6 linked regions of the Bombyx mori genome follow. The protein of the gene in region 1 interacts with the protein of each later gene in a pairwise test. Links are inferred from orthologs where the notes say so. Each region holds a gene or a part of one and is shown on either strand. Other genes may lie near its edges. The genes, in order: STIP; methyltransferase-like protein 17, mitochondrial; bystin; exosome complex component RRP46; leukocyte receptor cluster member 1 homolog; histone acetyltransferase Tip60.

Evidence for each region.
Region 2: the proteins of STIP (region 1) and methyltransferase-like protein 17, mitochondrial interact in binary tests that used the Homo sapiens proteins (3 or more experiments, as listed by UniProt). The link is inferred for Bombyx mori from reciprocal best matches to the Homo sapiens genes TFIP11 and METTL17.
Region 3: the proteins of STIP (region 1) and bystin interact in binary tests that used the Homo sapiens proteins (3 or more experiments, as listed by UniProt). The link is inferred for Bombyx mori from reciprocal best matches to the Homo sapiens genes TFIP11 and BYSL.
Region 4: the proteins of STIP (region 1) and exosome complex component RRP46 interact in binary tests that used the Homo sapiens proteins (3 or more experiments, as listed by UniProt). The link is inferred for Bombyx mori from reciprocal best matches to the Homo sapiens genes TFIP11 and EXOSC5.
Region 5: the proteins of STIP (region 1) and leukocyte receptor cluster member 1 homolog interact in binary tests that used the Homo sapiens proteins (3 or more experiments, as listed by UniProt). The link is inferred for Bombyx mori from reciprocal best matches to the Homo sapiens genes TFIP11 and LENG1.
Region 6: the proteins of STIP (region 1) and histone acetyltransferase Tip60 interact in binary tests that used the Homo sapiens proteins (3 or more experiments, as listed by UniProt). The link is inferred for Bombyx mori from reciprocal best matches to the Homo sapiens genes TFIP11 and KAT5.

Annotation. Positions count from the first base shown.
Region 1 is NC_085113.1:9,625,259-9,630,312, forward strand, and holds the start of STIP (septin and tuftelin interacting protein), read left to right. Parts: upstream 1-1,994; 5' UTR 1,995-2,046; coding exon 2,047-2,152; intron 2,153-3,011; coding exon 3,012-3,155; intron 3,156-3,687; coding exon 3,688-3,905; intron 3,906-4,326; coding exon 4,327-4,446; intron 4,447-5,054. UniProt on the Homo sapiens protein: Involved in pre-mRNA splicing, specifically in spliceosome disassembly during late-stage splicing events. Intron turnover seems to proceed through reactions in two lariat-intron associated complexes termed Intron Large (IL) and Intron Small (IS).
Region 2 is NC_085130.1:17,554,175-17,558,423, reverse strand, and holds methyltransferase-like protein 17, mitochondrial, read left to right. Parts: upstream 1-1,961; 5' UTR 1,962-2,046; coding exon 2,047-3,369; 3' UTR 3,370-3,385; downstream 3,386-4,249. Other genes in the region: cytochrome c oxidase assembly factor 4 homolog, mitochondrial, read left to right, coding at 1,236-1,334, 1,696-1,806. UniProt on the Homo sapiens protein: Mitochondrial ribosome (mitoribosome) assembly factor. Binds at the interface of the head and body domains of the mitochondrial small ribosomal subunit (mt-SSU), occluding the mRNA channel and preventing compaction of the head domain towards the body.
Region 3 is NC_085121.1:8,923,557-8,928,757, forward strand, and holds the start of bystin, read left to right. Parts: upstream 1-2,205; 5' UTR 2,206-2,381; coding exon 2,382-2,516; intron 2,517-3,116; coding exon 3,117-3,240; intron 3,241-3,810; coding exon 3,811-4,048; intron 4,049-4,120; coding exon 4,121-4,277; intron 4,278-4,436; coding exon 4,437-4,628; intron 4,629-5,201. UniProt on the Homo sapiens protein: Required for processing of 20S pre-rRNA precursor and biogenesis of 40S ribosomal subunits. May be required for trophinin-dependent regulation of cell adhesion during implantation of human embryos.
Region 4 is NC_085131.1:1,263,462-1,268,622, forward strand, and holds the start of exosome complex component RRP46, read left to right. Parts: upstream 1-1,902; 5' UTR 1,903-1,940; intron 1,941-1,946; exon of another isoform or gene 1,947-2,020; 5' UTR 2,021-2,097; coding exon 2,098-2,200; intron 2,201-2,423; coding exon 2,424-2,550; intron 2,551-3,169; coding exon 3,170-3,278; intron 3,279-5,161. Other genes in the region: ribosome quality control complex subunit NEMF homolog, read right to left, coding at 225-280. UniProt on the Homo sapiens protein: Non-catalytic component of the RNA exosome complex which has 3'->5' exoribonuclease activity and participates in a multitude of cellular RNA processing and degradation events.
Region 5 is NC_085117.1:11,772,924-11,778,076, reverse strand, and holds leukocyte receptor cluster member 1 homolog, read left to right. Parts: upstream 1-1,972; 5' UTR 1,973-2,743; coding exon 2,744-2,766; intron 2,767-3,593; coding exon 3,594-4,422; 3' UTR 4,423-4,761; downstream 4,762-5,153.
Region 6 is NC_085124.1:9,216,726-9,221,920, reverse strand, and holds the start of histone acetyltransferase Tip60, read right to left. Parts: upstream 3,157-5,195; 5' UTR 3,069-3,156; coding exon 3,024-3,068; intron 2,952-3,023; coding exon 2,825-2,951; intron 2,335-2,824; coding exon 2,182-2,334; intron 1,757-2,181; coding exon 1,622-1,756; intron 910-1,621; coding exon 758-909; intron 296-757; coding exon 92-295; intron 1-91. UniProt on the Homo sapiens protein: Catalytic subunit of the NuA4 histone acetyltransferase complex, a multiprotein complex involved in transcriptional activation of select genes principally by acetylation of nucleosomal histones H2A and H4.

The sequences.
Region 1 (5,054 bases):
TAAAAATAGTGTCGATCAAAAAGATCGATATTAACTATTTTAGTAAGTCTATATTAAGACATCACTAGTTAAATCAATTTGACATGTAACTATTGTGCATTAATGTTAGGTTCCTTGTAGATTTAAAAGTAGTTTTTTGAAAGTAAAAATGTAGCCGTGAACAAACAATCCTGGTCAATGTAAGAAATATCCAAGCGTTCAAGAGCCTGTTCAAATATTAAAATTTAGTTCTATGGGTTTGTCTGTGGACTTTCATTGATACATATATGAATCGTTGAGTTATGGAAATTTTATTTGATTCATTAAGTTCGCATAAGTTTATGAACACAGCAATTTTATATAGCAGATGATTTATATAAAAATGTATATTATATATAATTGATGTTTACCCGACATAACAACAAAATTTTTAAATAAATTTAGTGCTAAGCTGGCGGATTATTCGCCTCCAAAACTTCACATTCAGGGCGTTTTAAGGTGTAGATATCATATAGGCCAGCATTGATGCTGGTGGATATTTTAACAGATTTTACTGCAAATGGTGAAACTCTTATTATGAAGTGCTATCACATGTCCTAATGAAAATGGATACGTCCTTTTCCGTCCTAATATATAATACGTAAGTAAATAACTCCTGTAACTTATTCGTCCTTTAATGTAATTGAAAATTATTAAGACATCATTATACATGTCGATTGGCTAACTAAAAATTGACTTCGATAATTTCTATCATGGTTATGAATTTTAATGTAATTAAAACAACGTGAATTTTAGTTTTGTTAAAATAAGTAAAATTGGCAAAGGCACAAAATTATTCTAAATAAATGGGACTGTGAAGCACAATTGTAATTTGTAACGTTTTATACCTGAATTGGAAATTTAGGAAATAAATTATTGTCAACAGTGGTAACATTGTTTTATTTAAGGCCCTAATCATACAGTGTATTTTGAAGGCGCAGACGATGCGCGCTTTAGAACGCGCGTTTTCGGCGCCGCGCCGTAGATGCTGTTTGTTGCGTTTGCACTAATAGTACAAACGTACGTATGAAGCTCGTTTACGCGCCTTTGACACAATACAAATGCACGTTCAAAAGGGAGTAGGAGGAGCCAATCCAATTCCATTTCCAGATTCGCCTATTTTTTCTTAAAAGTATTACCAAATACAACGTAGGCAATGTCTCAACCGACTCCATTGTTCAACTGGATTCAGGGAATCTCTGATTAACACACGGAAGCTACGAGCGACTATAGCACGTTTATATGGTTGCGCGTATTTGTGCAGTGGAAGCGCGTTTCACAATGGCCCCGTGTGCTTAGGTTACAAGGTTGCGTTCGAATCTCGAAGTGCGTATACGCGAGTCATCTGCGCGTCCTCTGCTCATAAAAAATACGCTGTGTGCTTAAGCTCTAAGAGTTGGAATAATAAAGTACCAGACCGCAATTTACCTGCTTTCGCTTGGATTTGGTCGCCTTGTTAGCATTAGTTGTTGATGTTTGACTACTGATGGGGTGGTTTGAGTTGAACCAACCAGTAATTCTACCCGACTTGTGTATCTTTCAAAATGTAGTGTATCTGTTCTTAGGTTATATATAATCTTACTCTATGGTCTGTTCAAAATATATCATTGATTTGCGGTAGAAATAGCCAAGATGATCGGTTTAAAGGATCCTATGTCATCTGTAATTAAAAATTTTTGAAGATTTTCGGGATTAATTGATCTTTCTTTTTGTTGTGACTCCTCTTAAAAGTCACCTGTGAACTTATAGTTGGTGTTTAAACAAAAAGAAATAAGCTTAAAAAAATTCAGTACGATAAAATCGACTAAGCTATGAAAATTAACCACAGTTCTAATTCAACATCTCTAAAAATGCTAAGCTAATCATTAGTGTCAAGACTGTCAAGTGTCACCATAAAGTTGTTTATAACCAAACAAAATAATTAACAATATTTATAACCAGCAAATCAGTCAGTTACGATTTTTATTTGTAACAGCGTAATTAATGATGAGTTATTTTGGTTAAGCTTAATTTATACGTAACAGTAAAATGTCAGACGATGAGGTTATAAAGTTTGAGATCACAGACTACGATTTGGATAATGAATTCAACCCCGGCCGTGGAAGAAAAGCTAACAAGGAACAACAAATATACGGTAAGTTACGTTTAAATACAAACAATCTAATTAAAACTCCAGAATATTCTAGGTGGTGCCACTACATTCAAAACATTGTTGTGTGATAGCTATGATAATTATAAAAATTCTAAAGTTTATAAAATGAGTTATTATAAGTTTCGTATTTTATAAAGCATCAAATGGTAGAGCTTCAACGTACCAAATTTTTTTCAATTCCGTAAATAATTCCCATTAGATTTGTATGTAATTTCAAGAAACATGCTCTGTCCGCCCATGATAATAAACAAAATATACCATGATCATTATAGTTTATTATAATAAACTAGTAAATTACTGTTTTATCATGAATGTGTGCATGAGTTTGAATAAAAATTTGATATTGTGCATGAAAAAATTTAACTAATTTAAGAAACAAGTAGGCAGCTGTTTTGATCTCTCACTTGAAAGAAGATAGCATTATAAAATATTCTAAGCAGATCACTTATGATATAGTTTCTAGTTTTTGTTTGATAAGCACTTCCATAATTAAGTCTCACATCTAAAACATACTTAAAACAGTAAACATTCTTATTTTAAAACCATCAAAGCGTAGCTAAAATAGCCCCTTAGGATACCAGCGATCAGGGAGGGAAAATGTGTTAGTTGTTTATAAGTATGAAATCTAATAACGTGTTCAATTAACCATTTAAACTCATATGTTCCAATGTCTAAATGTTTCTGGGATTATGACGACTGAGAGTTCATTTACACCACAAATATCTTATTGACTTGATTAAAATTAGAAAAAAAATTAATTAAAAATCTATGAAGCTTTCATGCATTGTTTTAAATGAGAATAGCTAATTGTAACAAAAGCAATAATATAATTAACTTATAGGTGTATGGGCCAAAGACAGTGATGATGATGAAAATGAAGATAATGTTAGACAGAGAATACGTAAACCTAAAGATTTTTCTGCACCAATTGGTTTCGTGGCGGGTGGAGTTCAACAGGCTGGCAAAAAAAAAGACAAGACTAAAGGTAACAAATACATATTCACTTAATTTTTCAATTTGAAAACTTAATAAAGTCATTTAAAGTGATTTAAGTATGGTATTTTATCAGTCTTCATGAACCGTAGACATAAATAAAATCACTTTTATAACCAAGTTATCAGTGACCACACTGTAACTATACAAAAAATATGAGACAACATTTTTATTCCAGTTGTACAATACTGACTACCCTCCACGTTGTTTCCTGAGCGCTATGACATGTCCTTCTTCAAACAAGGCTTCTGGAGAGTACTTAACAGTAGGCAGCGGTTTTGTCCTGCCCTTGGCATTGCTGAAATCTATGGGTGATGGTAACCACTCACCATCAGGTGGGCCGTATGCTCATTAGCCCACAGGGGCAATAAAAAAAATGCCAAAAAGGTACCTTCCGACTTGACTTGGCTGTTCCATTGCTTCATGATTGAAGCATAAACTGAAGGCTCCACCATTCTTTAATGTTATGTGATTTTCAATACTAAAAAAATGCATGTCGTGGAATCAGTTCATGTCAACAAAAGTAATTTTTAATAATTTGACAGAAATAAAACCAGCTGAAGCGTCTACTTCTGCTCCTAAGTACTCAGACAGTTCTGATGAGGAACCAGAGGTTCCAGTAGCGAGTGACACGGCGGGAATCAGGAGACAGGGACAGGGAATGCGTCCACCATCATTAGGTGGAAATGTGGGAAATTGGGAAAAACATACTAAAGGAATCGGAGCAAAATTGTTGTTGCAGGTAATTAATTAGCTATTGCTCTTTGATCCTGAATGAATGAGCTATAAGCCACTGCAACGTTAAAGTTCATTCGTATTGTTTGACAAGTCCGTTGAGTATTCGTTAAAACGCATAAGCGGTATACGATTTTTTGCAGTACAAACGACATTCGAATGGTTCTATATACAACGTATGTGCCGCTATTCATTCGTTAAGACGTATACTGCAAATAAACGTGCAGAACAATGCCGTAAACCCAGCCTAAGGGGCTATTTCAACTACGCCCAGCAGGAAGCGGCCGATAATTTATATAATTAGTTCTTAGCCCTCATTTGCATCTAGCCTTCTCACTCTTACGAATTTTTATAATTCATTAATTTAATAAACGTTCCACATTTTTGGAAATACGTGAGTTTTGATTAATATAATTTCTTTCTTACAGATGGGATACCAACCGGGTAAAGGTTTGGGTAAAGATTTGCAAGGTATCTCAGCGCCGGTCGAGGCTACGCTGCGCAAAGGCAGAGGTGCGATCGGAGCTTACGGACCAGAAAAGGCAACGGTGAGTTTCACAATGCACGTCATTAGAGTTTAATGAATACAAAAAAAATGTATTTGCAGTTGTACGGATCGCAACTTAAAACTTGCAATTTTTTTTCCTACCTATGCTGATAGGCTTGAGAGGCTATTTCAGCTTCACCCTAACGTGTAGATGAGCTCACGGGGCTCAAACCGGAGTGTTGCTAACACTGGGCCTAGCAAGAGCAGTGCCAGTGCTTCGCAGAATCTACCACCGGATCGGAAACGCGATCCACTGAGAGCATCCGTTGACTGCCCCGTAGTCTATATTAGGGCGGTGCCAAAATTATTAATCACTGGTATTTAGCATATAGAAGAAAAAAAACCCATTAACGGTGCTTTTAGGTACCACAAGCACCGGTCACCGTCCTTGTCGAACCCGTCGCTTGCGACTAAGAGCTGAGCGAGTAAATTAACCCACAGACAGCCCGCTGAGTTTCTCGCTGGATCTTCTCAGTGGGTCGCGTTTCCGATCCGGTGGTAGATTCTGCAAAGCGCTGCTCTTGCTAGGGTTCATGTTAGTAACATCGTCAGGTTTGAGTCCCGTGAGCTAACATGGTCTCTCTAGATCCATCAGCTTAGGTAGGAAAA
Region 2 (4,249 bases), on another chromosome or scaffold:
GTCCGTGAGCTCACCTACCCGTCCGGGCGAAGCTGAGATAACCTCTTAGGCTACCGGCGAATAGGGAGGGAAAAAAATAAAAAGAAGTGTGATAGTTTAAGGCGCCGTTTTTAAAACCTTTCCACTTGCTACTGTGGCGCCACCTTCATTTACTCCCTGTCGACGGACACTTTCTGCACTTAAAGTTATAGTAAAATAAGGTAAGGTCAGAGAGAGAATATATTTTATTGCACACCAAAACACAATTAACATTTAAAAAAAAACAGTTTTTTTTTAAACCTAAGCTGGTAGCCTAGAGAGGCTATTCCAGCTTAACCGTAACTAGTAGGTGAGCTCACGGGGCTCAAACCTGACGACGATGCTAACACGAACCCTAGCAAGAGTCGTGCTTCGCAGAATCTGCCACCGGATCGGAAACGCGATCCACTGAGAAGATCCGGCGAGAAACTCAGTAGGCTGGTTAAACAATTGTAAAGCAGATACATTTGTACAATAGGCAGTTTTATCGTTAAAAGCGATCTCTTCCAGACAGCCGTTTAATTTACGTAAGGTTAAATAAAGTTTTTCTGATGTTTGTATCTCTTAGCGCACGCAGTAATACTACATTTTTGTTAAAGCATCTGTTATTTTAACTCTAATAATATCTTTTAATTCTTACTGATGATGAACTAGTCATTACTGTTTGTTAAAACTTTAAACGCTGGAAAAACAAATGTTTTTGGTTATGCTTCTAGAAATGGAGAATATGATGAAAACGCTCGTGCAAATCTTGGTTGCTCGTGAGCGTTTCAACCAAGGAACAGGCAGCATTAAAGACTGTAAATAAATAAAATAAATATTATTTATATTCGGCAGCGGCATTTTCTCAATATTATAGCGACAAATTATGATCGTCAACCAACAGATGTTGCTCATGAGTCATATTGTGGGTGATTGTAGACACTATGAGCTGAGTGTTAGTTCATTACGTGAATAATGGATTATTATAATCATTTAACCTTAGCATTTTGTATTGACAAAGCTTTTTGTTACTATGCGTGAAACGGAATACAAGTTATAATGCAACAGAATATAAAAGTAACTTGTAATTATACGCCAACAGCATGATAGTTTCAAATTTCCAATATAATACGTCAACTTCTCAGCTGATTTGTTTTAAGGTTATGTTCTTGTTGTGCTACAGTTAGACCAAAAAGAAATTAATATTGCCACTAAAACGTATTTCATACGAAAATATGACTATAAAACCTCGAGAACAGATCGGCAGTGATGATGATCCCGTGGAAGGCATGCTGAAAAAAACTGGCTGTCTGGAACTACACTATAAAGTGCAGGTTTGTTTTAAAAATGATTCACGTAAGTTAATTTAACTGTATTAAATATAAAAATGCAATACACTGCTAATTTAATATACCGACGTGTTTTGAGTCACATTTGAAAGTTATAATATCTAGGTTTGTTTTTATATTTTACTTGCTGACCCGGCAGACTTCGTAGTGCCTCAATCGATAAATAAAAGACCGACGGGGAACACATTTATCTACATTTTAAACCTTCTCTGGACTTCCACAAATAATTCAAGACTAGCCAAATCGGTTCAGCCGTTCTCGAGTTTTAGCGAGACTAACGAACAGCACTTCATTTTTATATATAGAGATAATTCAAAGTAATTAATGTTTGTTTGAACATTTTTAGGAATGCATCGCCGAAACGAAAGACTGGAGAAAGTGTCAAACCGCAGTTAATAATTTCAGAGATTGTATCAACAAACATAAACAGGAAGAAATAAATAAAAATAAACATTAAATCATGATACGATCGAATAAACATAGTTTTATTTCAATTTATGTACATACTGTTAATTTTATTTTAATTTAATACTTTTTAAAATTAATAGGCAGAAAATCGAAACCTTTTGCTTTAACTTTCAAGAATCGAAAAACATTATGTTTTGACAGTTTGTTGACAGTTACATAGATTATATTTCAGAATGCGTTTTGTTATGGTTTGTTGTGATGATCCGTAAAGTACTTTAAGGTTACAAAAATGTTTCGTAAACTCAAATATTCACATATTTCGTCTTTAAGCGCCAACTACTCAACCAAAGTCTCAATAGATCCAAATTTAAAGGAAAGCTTTGACGCGCAGATCTATAAGCCACGGAAACATCCAGGAACCAATCGTGTAAAAATAGCATCAATACCTGCGGATATTCGGAAGGCAATTAAAATAATCCTAGACGATGCACGAGCTAAATCTTTACATCAGGAGAGCATTAAGCTCAAAAACCATCTGCAGTCTAGGCTACTGCCGCCAGAAGAAAAGGAAATTAATTTGAAAGCCGCGCAAATTCACGACAGCATTTCACAACGGACATTCTCTAAAATAAACAAAGAATTGAGCCAGGAGGAGTTGCAAAACATGAAAAAACAGGTACAGAATACTGTATTTAATATATTAAAAACGAACGTGTACCGTTGGGGTAATATATCGTACGATAAACCTACTAGTCTTCAATATTTGATGACCAGGGCTGCCCCGGAATACGCTGTCTTGGTTCGCGTATTAGATGAGATCAGAAGGGTTTTACCAGATTACAAGCCACGAAGCTTTTTTGACTTTGGTTCCGGCGTCGGAACCGGTACATGGGCACTGAACACATATTGGAAAGGAGAAATTTATGAATATTTTTGTGTCGATACATCGGCTCACATGCACGATTTGGCACGCTTAATTTTGTGTGAAGGCAAGGACAACGTCGAATTACCGTATAAATGTTATTACCAGCGTCAATTTCTACCTGCTTCCACAGATCTGAGGTACAATATAGTTTTGTCCGCGTACTCATTATTTGAACTACCCTCGATGAAATCAAGATTAGAAACAATACAAAAACTATGGAACAAGACCGAAGATTTCCTAATAATCATCGAACACGGAACAAATGCCGGATTCAGAGCTGTAAACGAAGCCAGAGAATTCATTTTGAATCTCCCAAAAGACAGCAGTAATAGAGGTTACGCATTCTCTCCGTGTCCAAACGACAGTGTTTGTCCAAGATACCTCGACCATCAAACTCCATGTAACTTCTTAATGAAGTACGAATCGCTAGGCTACCATTCAAAGTCTGAAGTTTTAGCAGATTTGTACACATATGTTATTTTAAGGAAAGGTGATCGACCAAATGACGATCCACAGTGGCCTAGGATTGTAAGGGCTCCGATTGTCAGGTCCGGACACACGATCTGTCGGATGTGTACAGCACAAGGAGAGTTAAAAGAAATTATATTTTCTAAAGGGAAGCACGATCAGACTATGTACAGATGTGCTAGGTCTGCTAATTGGGGAGATCTTTTACCTATAAAATAAATAATTACAACATAGATTAATGTTTTTAGTTTAATTACAAACACACTAGCTTTGTACACAGTATTAATAAATACTTTACATTATATTATGCATTTATCTGATGCGATGGAAGTCAGAAGGATAAAATCTATACTAATATATAAATCTACAGTGGTTTTTACGGATGTTCCGTTATAACTACTGAACCATGCATCCGATCGACTTGAAACTTGGTATCCATGTAGAAAATACATGTTCTTAATGGATAGGCTAATAGTTATATGAGTGTTGGACTCCCTACACCAGTTGCGGGGGCGTTAATGATGAGAATCTTTGTGGGGGTGAGAAATAATAATGTTAATTTTAAATGCCCAGCGAAGCGGACGGGTACAGCTGGTATTTATACATTTTGCTTGATAATTGACCTTGCAGCAGATAGTACAGAGTGTATTTACCTTTTTTGAAAATCACAGATCATGGGAGGCAGAAGTATTACAGATAGATTGAGATAGATAGAATGAACTGTACATATTATAATGGAAATTGGTATTAAGTTGTTATGGTAGCCCGTAGACACTGAAGCATTACAGCTCTCCCGTAGGCAGGAGTGCCACACTAATCCACGGCAGAAATAAGCAGGAAGGTGTTTTTATGATGTACTGGCTCAAAATATATGTATGACTGTAAGCAGAGAACGTTTTAACGAAAATATTGAATTTAGTACCGTTAATAAATAATAACTGGGAACAAATCGTGTAAATCCGGCCCTAATTTAAGATTTCCTATGTTATTGGTAACACTGACTGTCATACATACATATATATAGATAATCACAAAGAGTAAACAAACCTGTTCATCACACGAATGCTTGTCTGACACGGGAATCGAACCCACGACCCTC
Region 3 (5,201 bases), on another chromosome or scaffold:
GAACAATTTTAAGGTAGTTGTTGATGTTTAAAATGCTATATCAGGATCAAAATGATTGAGTCTTGGGGGTATCTTTGTTATCCAATTTCAAGCTATGCAATTAGTATTCCAGTTTAAGCAAAAAAAGCAAAAATAGGTGCTTTCCCTATTTACCCGGCAATTGCGATTAATGGAGACGAAATTAGTATTAATAGAGAAATTTGCTAGGGCTGGCAGTTCTTGGTTTTAATTTATTTATTTATTTAGTTGCACCAACAAAGTGTTCATCAATAAAAAACATTGAAAAACCTGACAAAAGTACATGGCAGATGTCACCTCAATTATAGGTGCAATCGACAGTGCATTGACAACAAAAATAAAAAAGAATGTATAAGTAAAACTTGATTACATTTAATTACTTATGATTAATTTTACTTGGGAAATTTATCAGTGACAGATTTTTCTTGTAAGTTGTGAGACAATTAGAAAATATGTATTTCATCACCTAAAATTAGTTCAGCGCAATCGAACAACTCCGAATGAACATTGACGGACACCGCGCTACCGTGCACATGAATGTAGTCCCAAATGATTCTGTTTAAGGGAGAGTAAGCACCTGGTCTAAATTCGAGCGGGCGGGCTTTCTTATAAACGGTTTATATTACTTCGTTCTTGGTAAGTACTTAGGGGCTGATATTTTTATCTGGGTTAAGAGATTAGGTTATTCCATGGATTAATCAGGTGGACCCCCACTATGACAAATATTAATATATTTTATTATGTATTACTTCGACATTTTTCTCCACTTTGAGATTTCATTGTTCTTGTTACATGTCTGTGCAAAGCCGAGTTACTTATGTTAAATTGCTTAGCTATTTCAACCAAAGACTTATTCCCAATTTCATAGGCTTATAATGCTGTTTTTAATATTAAGGGATCATTTATCTTATAAGGCTTTGCACTTTTTTATACGTACACGCGAGGCATATTTAAAAATAGAAAACAATACGTAACTGATTTGCCAAACAATAAAATAACACTGCATTGATAATTTTGAATAAAAGTTCTAGACAAAAACATCATGAATAAACCAGATTCTTACCAACATTTAAAAAATATTGTTATAACTACATAGACAACCCTACACGCCTGTACCTATTTATACTTAGGTCGTTCCCATTTAACTTATTCTCATCCCAATTGCCCATCTCGTTGTTATTTGTACCTCAGACGTCCCCAAAAACAACAGATTTTTACATGTTTTTTTATATTATCAAAAAACATTAAAACCAATAACAGTTGAGACTTACTTTTAATACAATATGATGGTTCAAACACTAAATAACGTTTATAAATCACAGTTGTCTTTTATTATTATCAAATAAATAAAAGAGAGTAAAGTCTAGCACTAAAATAATTACCACAACAAGAAGAATAAGATAGCAGCTATTATCATGCATATTCAGAGTTGTTTTGTGAACTTTTATTACACTACAAAAAATGGAAGATTTTGCAACGATTAAAAAACTAATATTGAGCGTCGAAAGATTTTCCTGCTTTTCCCCATTCACCTCTCAAACCCCAATAACCCCATTTTTCGGTATATCAAATTTCAAGTTAATCCGACGTTTTGAAGGGGGTCAAAATCATGTTCAAAGATTCCGTTACAAACTATCTTTTATTAGCTTCAGACGTATGTAACGTCTGAAGCTAATAAAAGCGTATTAAAAAAAAGGGGTGCGTGTACTTATGTACGCGCGTAAGAAGTTATACTTTATTTTTATGATTATTATTTTATTTTATTAATAGCTACGTCAGTCGTATTGTAGTGAGCGATTTAGTGAGCAACTTCATTCTGTTAATTTTGTGTCACGGTGCGCGCGCCTAAAGAAGTATAACTTCAAAAAACGTATGTATGAATTTTTTATTTGGCTACAGCGTGTATTATTAGGTTTTTTTAGGTATAGTAATTTATAGATGATCATAGTATCTCTGTAGGTATTTTGGACGCCCGCCATTATTTTCTAACTTTATGGTTAGTTTTTTGTCTTTTATGCTTTAAATTTAAATCATAGTTTTTCAAAATTTTCAGTAATGTAAAACTTTCAATATAAAGCCGTGGATTTTATATAATCCTCAGTAAAATTAGTGACAAACAAAAGATTAGGCTGTCTAGGCTATGTAGGTTGTATAGGCTATGTTCCCTTAACTCGAAGACATTGACAATGTCATTACAGCTGCAAAAATTTATGACATTTTCTAACTAAAAAAACAACAGCACATGGTAAATCTTTGATAACGTTTACAATTTATGTTCCGCAGGAACGGTTTTTGTATGTAGTATTAAGAAAACTGTGGTGTTTGTTAAAAGTTTCCTTACTGACCATTTAGTTGAAACTAATATGGGTAAAGTTAAAAAGTTGAAGCCCTCACAAGTGGGAAAAAATTTAGCTCTTGCTGATCAAATTGAATCTGGAAATTCAGTCAAAATTAAAAATAGGACCAAAGATAGAAATAGGCACGATGAAGACGATGAGGTAAATTATGCATACTACTTTAAATTATTTCTGTAATCTATTTAAGTATAATGTTTTATTTATTTATTTTGTTATTGCTTAGATTGTTGGACATGTCACTGCCCGCCTGGTGTTAAGTGGTTACCGGAGCCCATAGACACAACGTAAATGCCGCCACTCACCTTGAGACATGAGCTTTAAGGTCTCACTTTTAACAGTACAAAGGCTGCCCTGCCCTTCAATCAAAACGCATTACTGCTTCACGGCAGAAATAGGCCGGGTGGTAATGTAGGCATTAGGAATCAAAAATAGGCAGATGGCAGATTCTTCTTCTTCTTCTTCTCCATCGCTCCCTCATTGCTGAGGATCGTGACTCCGTTTTAGCTTGTCTACTGTTAGCCTCCATCGGTTCCGGTCAGTTGCCTGGTGTAGTGCAGCGCTAAGTGGTCCGCTGGTTTGCTCGGAGATCTGGTTGGACCAACGTTTGGGGCTCCGGCCTCTAGGACGTTTTCCTTCTACTTTCCCAGTGACCATCAGACGTTCCAAGTTGTCTACACCTCTGCGGGCAACGTGCAGATGGCAGATAATGTCCACAATAATCGATTTTATATATTTTTTCAGTTTGTAAAAGCAGATTTGTCTAAAAAAATTTTAAAAACTGCTAGAAGGCAACAAGCTGAACTAGAAGACAATGAGATTGGTCCGTCTCCAGCAAAACATGTCACTCTTGTGTCAAGCTTTAAAGGTAAAACATTCTTTTTTTTTATGTTGATAGAATTACTGGTGGCCTGGAGGCCTTTCCAGTTTCACCAGGACAGGTGGGTGAGCAAAGGCTCAACCAGGAGGGGTGGGATTTGCTAACAGCTGCCCAAGCCCCTCCAAAGGAGACCTAACAACTCAAGAGCAACTGCTTCGCGAATGAATCTACAACCGGATTGGAATCGCGACCCGCTGAGAAGATCCGGCGAGAAACTCAGCAGGCTGATGCATGGCTTAGGTTGGACGTCGACTTCTTTGTTGAATTTGACGAGTACAGTTACCAGGGTCGCTTAGCCTGTTCCTAGTGTTAGAGCTGAAGGCATCTAATGCTAAGGTTATTGGATCTGATGGATCCGTAAGGACGTGTGTAAAACATTCTATGACAGTGTACATGTACAGTAGAAGTAAACAAATAGTGAACAGTCATTTTTGTTATAATGCAATTAATTTCTCAAATGTACCTTGTGAATGAACTGAAATTATTTTCAACTGCAATTTAGATTTGATAGTTAGTAATTCCACTTGTTGAAAAATAACTAAAGATATTATTTGTTAGATAAAGGATCAGATAGTTCAGATTCAGAGAAGGATGACTTGGAACCTGACACATACTATGATAACATTGAAATCAACGAAGCAGATGAAGAAGCACTCAAATTGTTCAAATCATCTAAAACAGAAAGAGTTAGAACTCTAGCTGATATTATAAAAGAAAAAATTACTGACAAACACACAGAACTACAGACTCAGTTCTCAGATGCAGAAACTTTAAAATTGCAGAATATTGATCCAAGGTAAGTGAGATTGATAAAATTTTTGATCAAAATGAAGTATTACAATCTTTGTATATAAATTTTGAATTTCAGAATAAAAACCATGTATGAGGGCGTAAGGGATGTACTCCAGAAATATAGATCAGGCAAATTACCGAAAGCTTTCAAAATGGTGCCACATTTGCAGAATTGGGAGCAAATTTTATACTTAACAGAGCCTACTACTTGGTCAGCAGCTGCTATGTATCAGGTTAACAATAAGAAAATACTAATAACAATAAATTTAGTAGTTGAATAATACTTAAATGTCTGGCGTTAATGAATGATATTCGGAAAATCATAGCTTTAATCAGAATTGAAGGCTTTATTTAATGTTATCACATTATTCATTATGATTATTGGTTTGCAGGCAACTAGAATTTTTGCATCAAATCTTAAGGAGAAGATGGCTCAGAGGTTTTATAATTTAGTTTTACTACCACGTGTCAGAGATGACCTTGCTGAATACAAAAGGTTGAATTTCCACTTGTACCAAGCATTGAGGAAGGCCTTGTTCAAACCTGGTGCTTTTATGAAGGGAATTTTACTACCGTTATGTGAGGTAAGATGCCAAGTTTGGGATTAAAATTAATATAAAAGTGATGTGTTTTGTACAACACACTGTAAAGGAGTGAGTCACAATCAAAATTTTAAACAAATAACTTTTATTTTTATTCTCTTGTCTTCTCATCTCAATCACATAGTTAGGCCCAAGCCAAACAACCATTGATAGGAAGGTATGCTTGGTATTTGTTGAGTAATTTTTTCTGTTATTTTTAATGGTCCTATTATGTGATTCATATTGCATTTGATTGTTGTTCATTTTGAAGAAATTTCCTGACTTATCCGCAATTGTTTAGGTTTGCTGCCTTTTGTGATAGGTAGTAGGATCATTATGTTAATTGATTGATAAAGCTGTAATTTGATATCACTCCTGTTGTTGCCAATCCTGTGGAAACTAATGTTACTCTTTGGATAAGCCAGAAATGCTTGTGCAACTTCTTATTTCAGTTGTGCATATTTGGACAAGTATTCAACTATTTATGACCGTGCATTCCATGAATGGATATTGCAAATAATATTTCAGTTTAGGTTTTTTTACTAGTGTAATAATATCTTGTTGATAACAGTATAT
Region 4 (5,161 bases), on another chromosome or scaffold:
TAATTTAAAAGAATTAATAACCTTAGTTATTAGCGAGGGTTTTCCACTGTCACCTAATGATTTAATTGGTATATTTTGACAAAATTATTGAGGAGCACCCTTGTCAAAAATAAGTTTGATAAACAGCTATCTTCTTGCATTAACAGCGTTAGACATATTATGAAATTGCAGTATTTTTTTAAACATACTAATATAACTGTGATCATATGATTAAATCAAATTACCTTTGCAGTTCTGTGATCATGCATATGATATCGTATGTATTGAATCTCGTCTTCATTTTGCGTAATGTTAATTACACTATTAAAAACGGAATTAAGAAAACCAAACTTTGGAATTGGAATACAAGGATTTTATTATTATATGATGTGTCTATAATTACAGCCATAGATCGGCTAGCTTTACGAACTTTATTGTGACATTAATTTGACAGCCATATGGAATCTGTGTTCTTTTAATATTTTATGAATATTTTGGCAAAGACAACGACCACCAAACCTACAATTTAGTCATATTTTTCTGTGACGTGAAAAGTGAAATGGAATCCTTTTTTAGGAGCTATCCTTAGCTAGTAGCAATAAATAACTACAATATTGTGCACAAATTTTAGAATATATTATGAAGCCTATTAAATAAACGTAACTTTTTTGGTGGTAATTTACAAGTATGTTTAACGGTTTCTTCTTTGTACTTTAGATCTGTACTACTGCTAAGTCCTTGTTGTAAGAAAAAAATGAAAATACCCTTCTCGGGAAGAAATATCGGGCGAGTTTGAATAGCTAATACAAGATTTTCGTAATGACTGTTCCAGTAAACACATAACATAGCTCCCTTCAATAAAATCAGGCTTCCTGGTGGAAGTTAATAACTCGTAGAGTGCTAGTAAAGCTTTTCTGCAGAACGCTACTTCTCCTGTGTTTGTTCTTGTTAAGTTGAGTCATTTATTTAAACTAGTACACTATTATGATTGTATTTTATACTTCTTTACAAATTTCGCCAAGACTACACTTTAAAAAATATTAACAAAGACAAACAATATTTAATCTATTCTCAATTTGACAACAAAAAGAACAAAAGTTTAACAATAAATAATATGCATGCGTGTGTGCGTCAAATACATGGTATGTAGTGTGTGTAATGTTTTCTTTATTGATTTAATGTATCTTTTATGCATTATTTTAAAAAAGATTAGCATTGTGCACTTCTTCTCTATATTCTCTATAAGTGTGGAAAACTTCATACTCCTCCTTCCGCGCAATTTTCGTAAAAAGGGATACACAGTTTTTGCTTCACGTATTAATATATAGATCTCGAAGATAGAGATTTTTTTTCAAAAAACTTAAAATATTGAGCACACTGAAAAAAGTACTAAATTGGGATAATGATTCAGTTTTTAAAGATGAAAGATTATGATGAGTTGGAACCTACTCTTGCCGATAAGGGCGTTGTGTCAACTCAACTTTAAAAAACTCAGACTAAGGACAATGTACCTAAATAGATAATTATGTACTCCTATTTTGGACTTTTTGGCGGGAACGCGAGTAGCAAAGTTGTGAGAATAGTTTTATTTTGTTAATTTAATGTTTCTTCATGTTTAAACATGTACTAATGGATGTTTATGAACTGTTTAGTATCTGGGAAAGTGCATAAATTTAGGTAAATAAAACAAAGTCACCGGACGTTGATCCTCGGGATCTTCCAAACAGTCCACTGAAATAGTCTTAATAAGTCTTAGTTTTAATTTAATTCCAATTAATTAATGTTTGAAATTAATCAACCTAATTTCATTTCATTTTCATATCGTCTTCATAAAATAGAATTTACAAAAGATTAGGCTGTATGTTTCAATAGCTTTGCCCTTCTGGTTGTAAAAAACAAACGAATACTACTGTCAATGTCATTCTCACATGTTTTCTCAATGAAGTAGGAAACCTATATAGGTATATATACTATATAGGTCTATGTGTTTTCTATATTTTTCTTGTTATTAAAATAAATAAAGATCATCTTTGAATTTTAGAAAATCAGAAACCCAATTAGCAATCAAGTTTCATTGTACTACTTCAAGATATATTTAAACATTTGAACGAATTAAATATGGTGACTGATATGAAGGATGTACAGGATTTTAAATTAAAACCTATGAAATGTGAATTCAACTTCCTGAGCAAATCTGATGGATCAGCTATTTTATCACAAGGTAAAAACAGTTTTATGCCCTATAATCTAGCTGTGGTCATTTTACCGAAACTCTTAATTTAGGTACAACATGTTAAATAATAATTTAGTATTTTTACAAAAAATAAGTAGAACAGTAAGATTTTACGAACATTCAAAGTTCATCGTCTTAAAAAGTACAACAATGTTAATTAAAACTTCTTGGACAGAAAATCGTTCATCAAAGCTTGTAAATATTTTTACAGGGGATACTGTATCATTGGTGAGCGTAAATGGACCTTTAGATATAAAGATGACCAGTCAACGAATAGATAAGTCAACTCTTGAGGTTTTGTTCAGTAATAAGAATGGGAAACCGAGCGTGGAAAACAGGTAATGTATTAGAGCTATATGGCTATTGGAAATTAATTTAATAACAATATTTGCTTGTCAGTGGTCATTTGTATAATAATAGATGAAATCCACCGTTCGGTTTTGGAATGAACTACCCTCTGTGGTGTTTCCCAAGCGTTATGACATGTCCTTCTTCAAACGAGGCTTCTTTGAGAGTACATAATGGCATGTAGCTGCTTGGCTTTGCCCCTAACATTGACGTTGGCGTGAGCGAATGTAACCACTTACCATTAGGAGGGTCATATGTCTACAAAAAACATAAATTTGGTTGTCATTAATGAATGTATTGTTTAAACATTACTAGATACAACAGAGTTCAATATGGCAGATACACAACTTATTGATATTCTTGCTTGATCTTCTAAGTGAGTCACTTTTCTGACATGGTAGATTCAGCAAAGCACTGCGACTCTGTTAGGGTAGACATTAACAAAGTGATTGAGGTTGATCCCCATAAGTCTTCCACCAGTCTCTGTTGATGCTTCATGAAAGGTTTCTCAAAGAAACATCTGTAAGTGATGTTAAATTGTGGAATATTTTCAAGAAATAGGTGTTACAGTCGATTGTTGAATTGTAATCATATTACATGTTATTACAGATACAAAGAGAATATAGTGAAACAGACATGTGAAGCAGCAATACTTGGTTCTCTGTATCCTAGAACTGGTATAAATGTTACTATACAGGAACTAGAAGATTATGGTGGTGTGAGTACTGATTTGTATTTAACGAGGGTGAATTGGAATTGTTCCTAAAAATGAAGATTGGTGGTATTGGAAGTACTGGTGATTAATGATCTATCTGCTTCTAGCATGGAGCAGTTATGATCTGCCTATTGCTTTTAAGTGGGGGTAGTTCTTCACTCTCAAGCTTTCTACACATGCTTCAGGCTTGTAAACAAAAATAATGAAAAAAAAAAACGAAAATTGTTTTAATTGATATAGATAATGTTTTCTGTTAATTTCACAGATCATTTGATGAGCTCAACCGATGTAAAGTGGTTACCAGATTTCAATATGCTACATATTTAATAGTGGCCAAATTATTTTTATTATTAAATGTCAATGTATTATTAAATTGTGAATTTATTATTAACTAGCTGACCCGGCAGACTTCGTAGTGCCTCAATCGATAAATAAAAGACCTAAACTTTTGTATAAAATAAACTTAAAACAAACAAAAGGAATCCGTCCGACGCGGGACACAACAAAGGAAAAACAAAATTGTTATTTTTATTTAGTTCCGAGCATTTTCATATTTATTTACCTTTCAAACCTTCTCTGGACTTCCACGAATCATTCAAGACCAAAATTAGCCAAATCGGTCCAGCCGTTATCGAGCTTTAGCGAGACTAACGAACAGCAATTCATTTATATATGTACTAGCTTTTGCCCGCGACTTCGTCCGCGTGGAATAGTTCACGAATAATACAGGGTGGCCCATAAGTCCTTTGATATGAAAAAAAAATTATTAAAATAAAACTAATTACATTATGAATTAAATTTTTATTTACATAAAAAGCTTAAAAAACGGGAATTATTTTTTGAAAATAACATCTCCTAAATGTAATCCGTTGCGAACACGGCACTCTTGCAAACGACGTCTAAAATTGTCGATGACTGCGCGGCACGTCACTGCTGAAATGCTTGTCATTTCTCTGCGGATGTTTTCTTTTAGGGCCTCAATCGACCGCGGGTTTGTGTCGTATACTTTAGCCTTAAGGTAGCCCCACAAAAAAAAATCCATCGGGGTCAGATCTCGACTACGTGGAGGCCAGGAAATGTCTCCTCTCTTAGAGATAACTTTGCCAGGAAAAAGTTGACGGATAACGGGCATAGCAGTGTTAGAGGTGTGAGAAGTGGCCCCATCCTGTTGAAACCACGTCCTGGCATGTAAATCTTTCTTCAAAATCCGTTGTAACGATGTCCTGGATACGTTTAATGCTCTGGCGCGCTTACGAGTTGACTGTGTCGGATTTTCGCGAATAGACTGTGTCACTGTGTCTATGTTTTGTTCCGTACGTGACGTCCTTGGGCGACCCAACCGCGGTTTATCTAACGTCGAACCGGTCTCCTCGAACTTAGCAACCCAGTTCTTAATCGTTTGAAGAGTTGGAGTGTCGTCAAAGTTGTGTAAACCTTTGTGTTCTCGAAATTTACGCCGCGCAACGGTTGCCGAATTGTCGTTTTTATAAAACTCGCGCACATAAAACGCACGGTCCGCTCCGGTAAAACGCTCCATCGCGACTAAATTCCCAGAAACCGAAGTTACTCCCCCCGCTTCCCCTGCACCGCTCACGCGCGCCCTGTTCGTTTTATTCAAATTTTACTTTTCAAAGGACTTATGGGCCACCCTGTACTTTATTTTAAAACAAATTTGGTTAGCATAAAAAACGTTATACCTAGTGAGCCAACCATAACATATAGACATATGCTGTCGCGGACTTTTTTTTAGATCTTGTAAAGGGGAACAATTCTGTCATACATTATTTTAGCGAAACTTTAACCATTTCTGCAGCGCACGCAGCGGAAGCTCTCAAAAGGGAAAAAACCCCGATTTTGATACATTCTTTATTGGTGCTCCCTTTGCA
Region 5 (5,153 bases), on another chromosome or scaffold:
GACCGTCGAGGCGATCCGCCCGGTCCTCTCGGACTGGGTGAATCGCGACCGAGGACGTCTCACCTTCCGAGCGACGCAGGTGCTCACGGGACACGGCTGTTTCGGTCGCTACCTGCACCTCGTCGCCCGGAGGGAGCCGACTCCGAAGTGCCACCACTGCAGTGGCTGCAACGAGGACACGGCGGAGCACACGCTCGCGTACTGCCCCGCTTTCGCGGAGCAGCGCCGCGTCCTCGTTGCAAAAATAGGACCGGACTTGTCGCTTCCGACCGTCGTGGCTACGATGCTCGGCAGCGACGAGTCCTGGCAGGCGATGCTCGACTTCTGCGAGTCCACCATCTCGCAGAAGGAGGCGGCGGAACGGGAGAGGGAGAGCTCTTCTTCCCTCTCGGCGCCGTGCCGCCGCCGTCGGGCCGGGGGCCGGAGGAGGGCGTTTGTCCAGCTCCAGCCCCTATGAGGAGGCAGTCTCCTCCCGGTGATGGTCACGGGGCGACCTAAGGGGGTTGAGGCTGCGCCGCACGCTACCGTCACTCTAGCGCGCTGGCACCAGGAGGACGGGACGGCGCGTCGGCGGCTGCGGACTGCGATGCGGTCCGCATTTTCGTCGTCGCTGTCGTCGCCGAACATACTGTTGAAGAGCAACCCGGTCGGCGGTGTATCGCGTTCCGACCCGGCAGGCTGGTTCTGGCCCAGCGGGGTATCCCGGAACACCAGCGGCACCGCCCGGGCGGCCTGGTAGGGCCGCCGTACCGCGGAGACTGACGTCGTTGGTCGTCGACTATCGCCTCGACGACCCGTCAGTCGGGCGTCCTCGGGGTGGCGCCGCGTGTCTGGTTGTAGTGTTGACCGCGGGAACCCCCCTACTCTGAACGGGTTCTGACCCCGGACGGAGATCGGACGTCGGGTGTAAGAGTGCAGGGAAGTCGTTTAGTGGGTGGGCCCTAAAATCCTTGGGCCCGCGATCTGCTCTCAACACCTGCAGATCGTTGAGTCTCACATACCCCGCGCGCCCCCTAGGCGCGGGGACCTCGTAGGAGGTTCGGCCCCCGGCCCGAAAAAAAAAAAAAAAAAAAAAAGGTGATAAAAACCGTTACATTATTTTAATTATTCAATTTAAAGAAATAATCGGAAAAATAATGGCCATCCCAATTTACCCCGCATTCGGGGTAAATTGACACGGGTAAGGGTTAAATTGGGATATTTGTAAGGGTTGTCAGTTCGCGGTACTGCGATATATAGGTAGGTAGGTAGGTGCCATACAATTATTTATATGGACCGAAATGATGAATACAATCCATAATTTAAGCACAATACACAACATAGTGTAAATTAAGCTGGTTTCTATTCCGAAGCGATGTGACGTGAATGATAATCAACAATACAATGATCAAAAAAAGTATGTGCATGTTATATTTTAGAAAATTATTATTTAATTTCTTAAAAATCACAACTCTGAAACAAAATCATAAAATAGAATAAAAAATAGAAAACAAAAGGACTGGAAATGCAATAATACAATTTTATTTAATCAACATTTTCAAAATAATCTTTGAGCAAGAGTAAGATATCAGGTGAATAAGATAAAAAAGCAGATTTATCTGATTACTGCCTATAATAACAAAAATAAAAGAAATTCTTTCTAAGCTAAATAACTAAACTCAATTAATTCACTCACTCATAATTGGAACCTAGATATCTCAGATTTTTAATTAATGTTACATTTAAAATCTGAGGCCTGTTTTTATTTGTATGTGCGTTGTGAATGTTAAAAAAATCATGATTCGACGCCTGAATAGATTCTGAAATAACAAAAGTTTTGATTCGTTTGAGTTCTTTTTAATTTTTAATTTTATTTTATTGCTATAAAGGACATACGACCAGGCAGATATTACAAGGTAAATGTCGCGAAAAAATGTAATTATATATATACTTTTCTTTTACCTATAGTACTTACATAAACTAACTGATAAACACATTAACCTTCTTTACATCACGCAATTGAGTGATAGTATAGGCTAAAAAATCTATTATAAGATATCAGTGACAACCCTAACAATCCATCCCTATTTTGTCTTTTGGCGTTCCAATTTTGTGTTTTCTCGTCCCTAATTTTTCCAGTCTCGTTCCAAATTACCCTACATACGTCCCAATTTTCCCCAAAAAGAAAGGAAAAATTATACATTTTTTATTTTGTCGAAATATTGTATTTAAAATAAGAATATTGCAACTTACCGTTTGTTGTGGTATTTCCAGGTGTATTAAAAACTTATATAAACTGTGATCTTATTGAAAAAACAACGATAATATTACTTTTTTTAAAAGTTCTGTAAGCTGTTTTAAAACGCACTTTTCAACCACTATTTTCAATTTAATTTGACGAATTCTTGGGACCAACTTAACTCATATTTAGTACTTCCATAGTTAACTTGGTTTTTCTTCTATACATTGATAAATATTAACATAAACAAAATTAGGTAGATTCCGTGCTACAGGTACTTTGAGAATCTTCAGCAGGTTTGTCCCAATTTACCCCATGTCATGGTACGTACAGTTACTGTACAGTACCGTACCTACTCAATATTTTGATTTTGTAAACAGAACTCTGAACAGAACAGAACGTCCAAAAGAGTAGGTGTAGGTGGCCACTACGTGCGTCAGTCCTAGAAAATACACTATAGTTACAGATTTCAATTAAAATTAGAACCTGAATTTATTCTAAATTTCGAAAGTTTAATTGAAAATAATGAATATCTTGCCAAAAAAAAGGTAAGTTGAAACATTTCGACAAAGAGAGTATTATTAGTTGCTCAAACCTTGTCATTATAAGTAGAACAAGCGACATTACGATCGGATAGATTACCAATCTTCGTCTGTGTACCTTACTCAGCTTCTCGTTTTCTTCTCGTATGCCAACTACTGAGGACATGCATGCATTGAGTAATTCTAATAGCACTGTGTTGGATGATATACTGGTCTATATCGATAGGAAAGCTTATTAAAACATAAATCTGAAGAAGCACTAGTGTCTAAATAAGCTAAAATGGGTTTAAGTTAAAGTTAAATTTGATCAAAACAGACATAAACTCTATATGACACTATAGGCGTTTCATCTGCCCAACTACAGCAATCCTGTGCATGTACCAATTTTTCTAATAGATGTACTTTCCACGTGTTTACGAATAAATAAATAACATCATGCAATTAAAAACCAAATCTGCAAAACCTTATAATTTGTCTATTTACTGGTAAAAAATAAATATGTGAGCCCGAATGAAAGTACAAAATGAAACTCACATTGTGATGTCTGTGCTCTCCGCTAGCCACTTAACACCAGGAGACCCATGTCCTCACTCTCCAGTCTGTGCCAGTAAATAAACAGCTTATTACATTATACGTTTTAAAAATATGATTAGGAAATATAATTTTAATGAAGTTAAAATAATATAGATAATTAATTAGTAAAATGTGAGAATGAATGATTAAAACTATTTTGAAAATATGAATGATTTTGATCTTAGTGGCCCAAGGGACTTATTAATATAGAGTTCTATATCCCTATATCCACACTATTTGACTTTATCTTTACTCTGTAGGTGGCATGTTCGGACTAAGGAAAATATTGCAAGGGTTAGAAAGGATGAAGCAGAAGCTGCAGAGAAGGAAAAACAAGAAAGAATAAGAACAGAAACTGCAGATAAAGAGTCAAGGCTCAATATACTAAAGCAAAAAAGCAAAGAGAGATTACTCAAATCAGGAATCCCACAAACAAATGTAGGAAAAAGTGAAATTATAAATGAACATGTCAACTTATTTGCAAATCTTGAAGATGCTATTAAAACAACAAACAAAGAACATGATAAAGAGGTAAAGGCCAAACAAGAAGAATATGAAAAACAAATTGGCTATTTAACTTATCTTGGACAAGATACAAATGAAGCTTTAAAAAAGAAAAATTGGTATGATGTTCCACCAGAGGCTTCTAGATATTCACGCACCAATGACATAAAAGATACCTATAATAAGCTAGTTTTGAAAGATGAAGATGGAAAACCAAAAACAAATTGTGTGGAGATTAAAAATGGAGAATTCGCTTGGAAACAGAAGCAACGACTAGATCCCATGAATCACATAAAAAGAAACAAAAGTTACAAACTTCAAAGTAACGAACCAAATACAAAGGTACATAAGAAAAACAAAAATCGTAATGACGAAAAGTGCCCAAAAATGAAACTACAAAAACTAAGAGAAGCTCGCCTTAAGAGAGAACAGCAGGAAAGGTGTAGAACAGAATTATTTCTAAAAAAATTAGGTGGGTTTGGTGAAAGTTCAACAGAAGAAAACAATGGAAAAAATAAACTGAATATTATTCCTAAATATAATTCTCAGTTTAACCCTGAATTGGCAAGACAGAATTATAAATGAAAACCATAATATTGAGAAATAAATTGTACCATTGCTAATAACTGGATTGAAATAGACAAAATATGGTGTAAGTTAGAATTACTTACACATACACAATAATTTAATATAATAATTTCGGAGTGAACCAAGAAAAGTTATTAACACTATCGTAATAAAGTGCTAAGTATCAAGTGTCTTTGCTGTTTGAAACAATTGAGCATGTTTAACCAAAACTAAAATCAATGTCATGAATTAAAATATTATTTAATAAAGTATTGCAATCAACACATAACCATAATATAAATAAATATATATGATAATGTTTAATCACAAATATATAGCATGACTTGGTTATTTAAATCAGTTTTCTTCTATACTATACGCATCCTTGTGCATATTTTATGACAATGTACAGTAGAACCTTGCCTTGATGACGTAACAACCTCCATAAATTCATATAATTTTGTATTCCCTTCCTCTCGGAGTCCAAAACCTCTTTTACTTAAAATACGAAACCTCTAAAACTTAACGAATAATTTGGGAATCGTACCTCCGTAACTCAAAGTTGTAACCACGACGACCTTTGTAACTTCAATCTTACCTATATCCATGAGTTATTTTAAATGAACGTGGTTCACTGTACGTTAGGACACGTTAACAGAAGAATAAATATACCGTGGTGCTGAGAGCGATGATATATCTATATATCATATTCATATCTATATATCATATTCGTCTATAGACGAAGATTT
Region 6 (5,195 bases), on another chromosome or scaffold:
CTTCTCTATAAAATGCATAATATTTAAAACCGATAGCGATTAATTAACAAATATTTAAAGCCGATAGCGATTAATTAACAATGCATTTCACCTGGGGGTATGGCGCGAAGTACCAAGGTCGTATCCTGTGCCGTCCCAGTTCTATCATCTCGATGTTCTTCATCCGCGTGACGAGATCGTCGTGTCCGTGCGCGACCAGACTGCCGGACTGTCGCGGGCGCGCCGTCGGCGTCGCCGTGCCGCTGGCCGTCGCGTCCGCTTCACCTTCTTGTGACGGCTCCGAATGTAAACTGACCTATATGAGACAAACATTACCTCTGATAGTGTCGTGGCGTGCAACCTCTTTGACAGGACATAAGACCTACAACGACTAGACATAGACAAAGAAGTCGTCGTGGCCTAAAGGTTATAAGACGTCCGGTGCATTCGTGTTGAGCGATGCACCTGTGTTCGAATCCCGCAGGCGGGTACCAATTTTTCTGATGATAATTCGTACTCAACAAATGTTCACGATTGACTTCCACGATGGAGGAATAACATCGTGTAATAAAAGTGAAACCCGCAAAATTATAATTTGTAGGGTGGTGCAGCCATTGTAACTATACTGAGATCTTAGAACTTATATTTCAAGGTGGGTGGCGCATTTACGTTGTAGATGTCTATTGGCTTCAGTAACCACTTAACACCAGGTGGGCTGTGAGCTCGTCCACCCATCTAAGCAATAAATAAATAAAAAATATTAATATTGATATTTTACGTCATTATCCAAAGAGGGCGGTTTGCGTTTTCTGTTCATCTTTTTCTGTAAGGCTGCTGCGAGGACAGCTCCTCCATTGACCAGTGACGAAGAATCATTTACCAGAGTCGGACTGGCGGGTCGGGACACCAACTGTCTTGGTTCAACCACAGCTGTGCAGAAAACCGGGAATGTAGTATTTTAAATTAAGAGTGATTTGACACAATACTGCAGCATTTCACATTAATAGGGCTTCACGTCAATAGAATTACAATATTTCTTTCAATAAATAAACGCCAAAATTAAACAATTGCTTCATTATAATTGCTATTTTTAAAGTATAATCTGTCGTTTTTTACTGTAGTTATGAATAATTTACTGTTTTCTATGTCACGGATGACTCGTCATACACAGTTAAGACATTAAGGTATAAAAGTAGCCTTAATTATATTTACGACTGGCGAAAACCGAAGAAAATACTAAATTGCTTAGTTGTCACATTAATTGGTAATAATTACTAACATGATCATTATATGTTAATCAAATATTACCATGACAGAAAATATTCATATTCAATATATGGACTATGGTATTACTGGTTCTCACAACTGAGCTTCAAACGTGCTTATAAGGGAACAAGAAACTATTATTATTTCTAAGCTTACAACTTGATGGCTACTAAGCTGTTGACATGTTGAATAATATGTTGGTAACTAAACAATCATTTGGAATAACATCAATGATGCTCACATTATACATACCAGTAGCTACTACTGCTACTGTTTAAAAGTACAAAAAATAAATTTATTGTTTTAAGAATAAAAGCATGACATATCTACCTAAATAAAAGCATATTACACAAAATAAATTATTATGGTACATTACCAAGTGCATTTTTTTGTGCGGAACCATTGAGTGCATTGCTAAAATGGGCCTTTTCATGTGTTTTGGGTTGGGTCAGTTGATTTGTTATAGTTCTAGCATTACTAGACTTCTGATTCTCATTGCAGACTGTGTCATCTGCAGACAAAATTTTGTTTTTATTGCCAATTGGTTGATCATGGATGTTTGGTAACACAAACTAACCTACACTTGGCACGAGACATTGTACTGGGCAAAACAAAGAATCATACAGTAACAAAATAAAAGTACAAATATATTCTACTATATTAATTATAGCATTCAAGACAACATCAACTAAAGCTAGAATTATAACACATTAAAGTTTGGACTCTATTTGTTTTACTGCTTTTATCCAGTCCAACATGAACTGTCGGGTGGAGGAAAAATAGCAAGTAATAGTAGAGAGTAATAGTAGAGTAATATAAATCATGCAATTTATTACCAAATCCCATTCTTTATCTGTGAAGTTGAACTTTGAATTGTTTAAAATTAAGTGAAATGACCATAACAATTAATTAAGCTCTAAAAACAAAGACACATACTAATAAAAGTAGGCATAACGCCACCTCCTGATCCAATGAGTGTTTTCTTTGGAGTAGTTGTACCACCTGTTGCTGTTCCATCCCGTCGAGGGAATTGGACTTTACGAGTGTCCAACCAAGATTCACCCACCCATTCATCGAGACGTTTATTAACTGAAAAATTTTTTATGTTTAAGTCTAATTTCAAAAAAATTAAGCACTTCATGAAAAACAGGAGAAAATCTTTTTATTCTGTTAGTACATACGTATGCAAGCTTACAAGACACCCTATCACAAGTGTTCTTTGCTTTTTCTGCTACTAAATTGGATTTTAGTCCATTTACCACCCTTTGGTTTTTTAAATTAAGATCTCAATTAGACATGTGCCTTTGTAGAACATTTTTAAGTATCCTTTAAGTTCAATCTACTAGATTGTTTATCAATTACACATATGATAACAAGCTCACATTAGTTATAAATTTATAAAATGTCTCAACATAGGTAAGTAGCTTTATTTTAGAAATTTCCCATATATATAACAAAACTAAAGCTTATAGATATAGGTAATTAGCTGCTAATCTAGCATCACAGTCAATTTCTTATCAATGTTACACACAATTTTTCCAAAATGAATAACAAACATACCCGTTCATTATTTACTCACAATCAACATAATGCACGTAAAATCCTCTTTGGCCCTGAACTTCTTTAATACTTATAATTTCGGCGAGTGGCCAGTCGTCTCCTCCTTGCATACGAACAGGAAGACGGCATCCCTCAACAAGCGATGACTAAAACAAAAAGATGATAAATTAATCTCACGGTATTATATCACATATATATTCTAAATAAGCGGAAATCACCGTTGAATCACAAAATGTTGTCAATTCATCATCATTTTCGTTCATTTTAAAATAATAATATTATTTTTTCACAAAAATAGCTATTTGCTTTGAATGCTTAGCTGTCATTGCTGTCAATATCAAAGTAATCAGATTGCAGTCAATCTGACATTAAATAGGCAAAGGGAATATTATTCATAAGTGATTAGTCTAGTAGGTAACGAAAATTGAAATGTAATAAATATTGAGAGTTCAAGCGTCTACCGATTATGTATTATTTAGCGCTTACGTAAATCTGCAGATACCAATCATTGATATGTTTTTTTAGCTATTTCGTAATGCATATATGGGCGAATGTGCTCGTGAGTCACAGCTTACCTTGTCTCAAATAGTTACCGGAACACAAATATATAATAGCAATGTAAAAAGTGTAATGGAACGAAATGAAATTATATCAATTCACTAATTCCTTACTTTGCTTTGGATCATTTGTATCGCATTCGGCTCAAAAGGTTGAACTACTCATTGTGTAAAAGAAGTGATTCTGTTTTGCTGGTTTTGACCTAGCGGAGTATCTCGGGAGTATTAACGGCCCTATCCAAGCGGGAGGGATTAGAGAACCGCTGGTCGTCTTGACAAACGTCAAACTGATGAGCCGTGATGTGAGGCACCGAGAAGAGATGCGCCGTTGGGTTGTTGAGTAAAAGCAGGTTTTGTTAATTTCCTCGTGCGCTAAAACTGGATTACATGATTTTTTGAGAATCAAATCTTATTTGATTCTCAAAAAATCTTAATACACACGAATAAGATAGAAATTAAGCCATAGAGTAATGGAACCCTTCAATCGCGTGATCGAAGATCAGAGTGTCTCGAATGGCTTATAGATGTTGTCATTGGCGACATGGGCACGTGGAGAAAGTCTAGGCTTTCTACTAGGCAGTATTAAAACCCTAATAATTTTGTCTAGCAGTCTGTGGTGAACCCCGCTAGAGGAAATAATTACATTTGTAAACTTTTCGCGGGTTCCATTTAATTTTTTACACGTTGTCATTCTTTTAACGCAGAAGTTGCTTATGAACATGTGTTAGAAGCAAATTTTATTTTATTTTGTTCTGAAGATGTTGTCGAGAGCAACTTTGGATAAGTTATAGATAGACTTTTCGCTCCATTAACTCCTCGCTCCATAGACACCAATAACAAAAATCGTTTTTTTATGTTTGAGAAATAGCTGTTGGAAGTCTATCCAGTTTCACCAGGACACGTGGGCGAGCAAAGGTTCAGCCAGGAGAGGTGGGAATAAGCACGTTTAGCTGGGCTGTGAGCCGTAGCCCGTGGATTGGGTAGCCCTGTCGAGATCGTAGGCTAACTCAGTTAACTTCAAAGGAAAAACTAACCTTGTTTTATACACATTATTATTTAACGTGTTCTTACCAAGAATGAACATTTACCTAATGAGTTCCCGATAGGTATGTCCTGTTGCAAGCGCCTTGATCACGAGTAGACTGAAGACTGCGGGTAAAATGTTAGGAGCAGAACTGTCCACATTCTTTATAGTCTGTGTTTGGATCTACTGGAACTCAATGATCACCCTGACCAAATACCTTCATAACCACATGTACCGAGCGATAAATCCTTTAGACGATGAACTCAAAACTTTCATTTCATGTGAATCAAACACTTGAAAAATAAGTACCAGCTCAGTATCAGACTACTCTATTTTCTCTCTGTTACAGAGACAAATAATGATAGCCCGTAAATTCATATTCATTTAACTGCCTATGCTATCAGTTGACAGCATTTCATTGAATTGTAGGATGAAGTCTGTGGAGAAGGATACTGTCGATTCTTGTTGAGCTTTAGAAAAATGGCTTTGTTGCTCCATCCAAATGCTACTTTACAATGTAATATCTATGTATGTATTTTGCAGTCACGAAATTAGGCAATAACGTTGTACCACCATATTTAGGCTTGATCTATGCCGTCTCGAATAATGAAAGGAAAATTTTTGGAAAAACACATTAAGCAACGTGATTATGAATTTTTTTTCGGCATCAGAAGGTATGACGGAATAATAATTTTTTTAGGAGGATCCTCCTTTTTAGGAGGATCAGCTCTATTAGTTCTTTGAAAAGCTTATACGAAAGACGCTGTAGAATAAGTATAGAAGCCTAGACTTTCTCCACGTGCCCATGT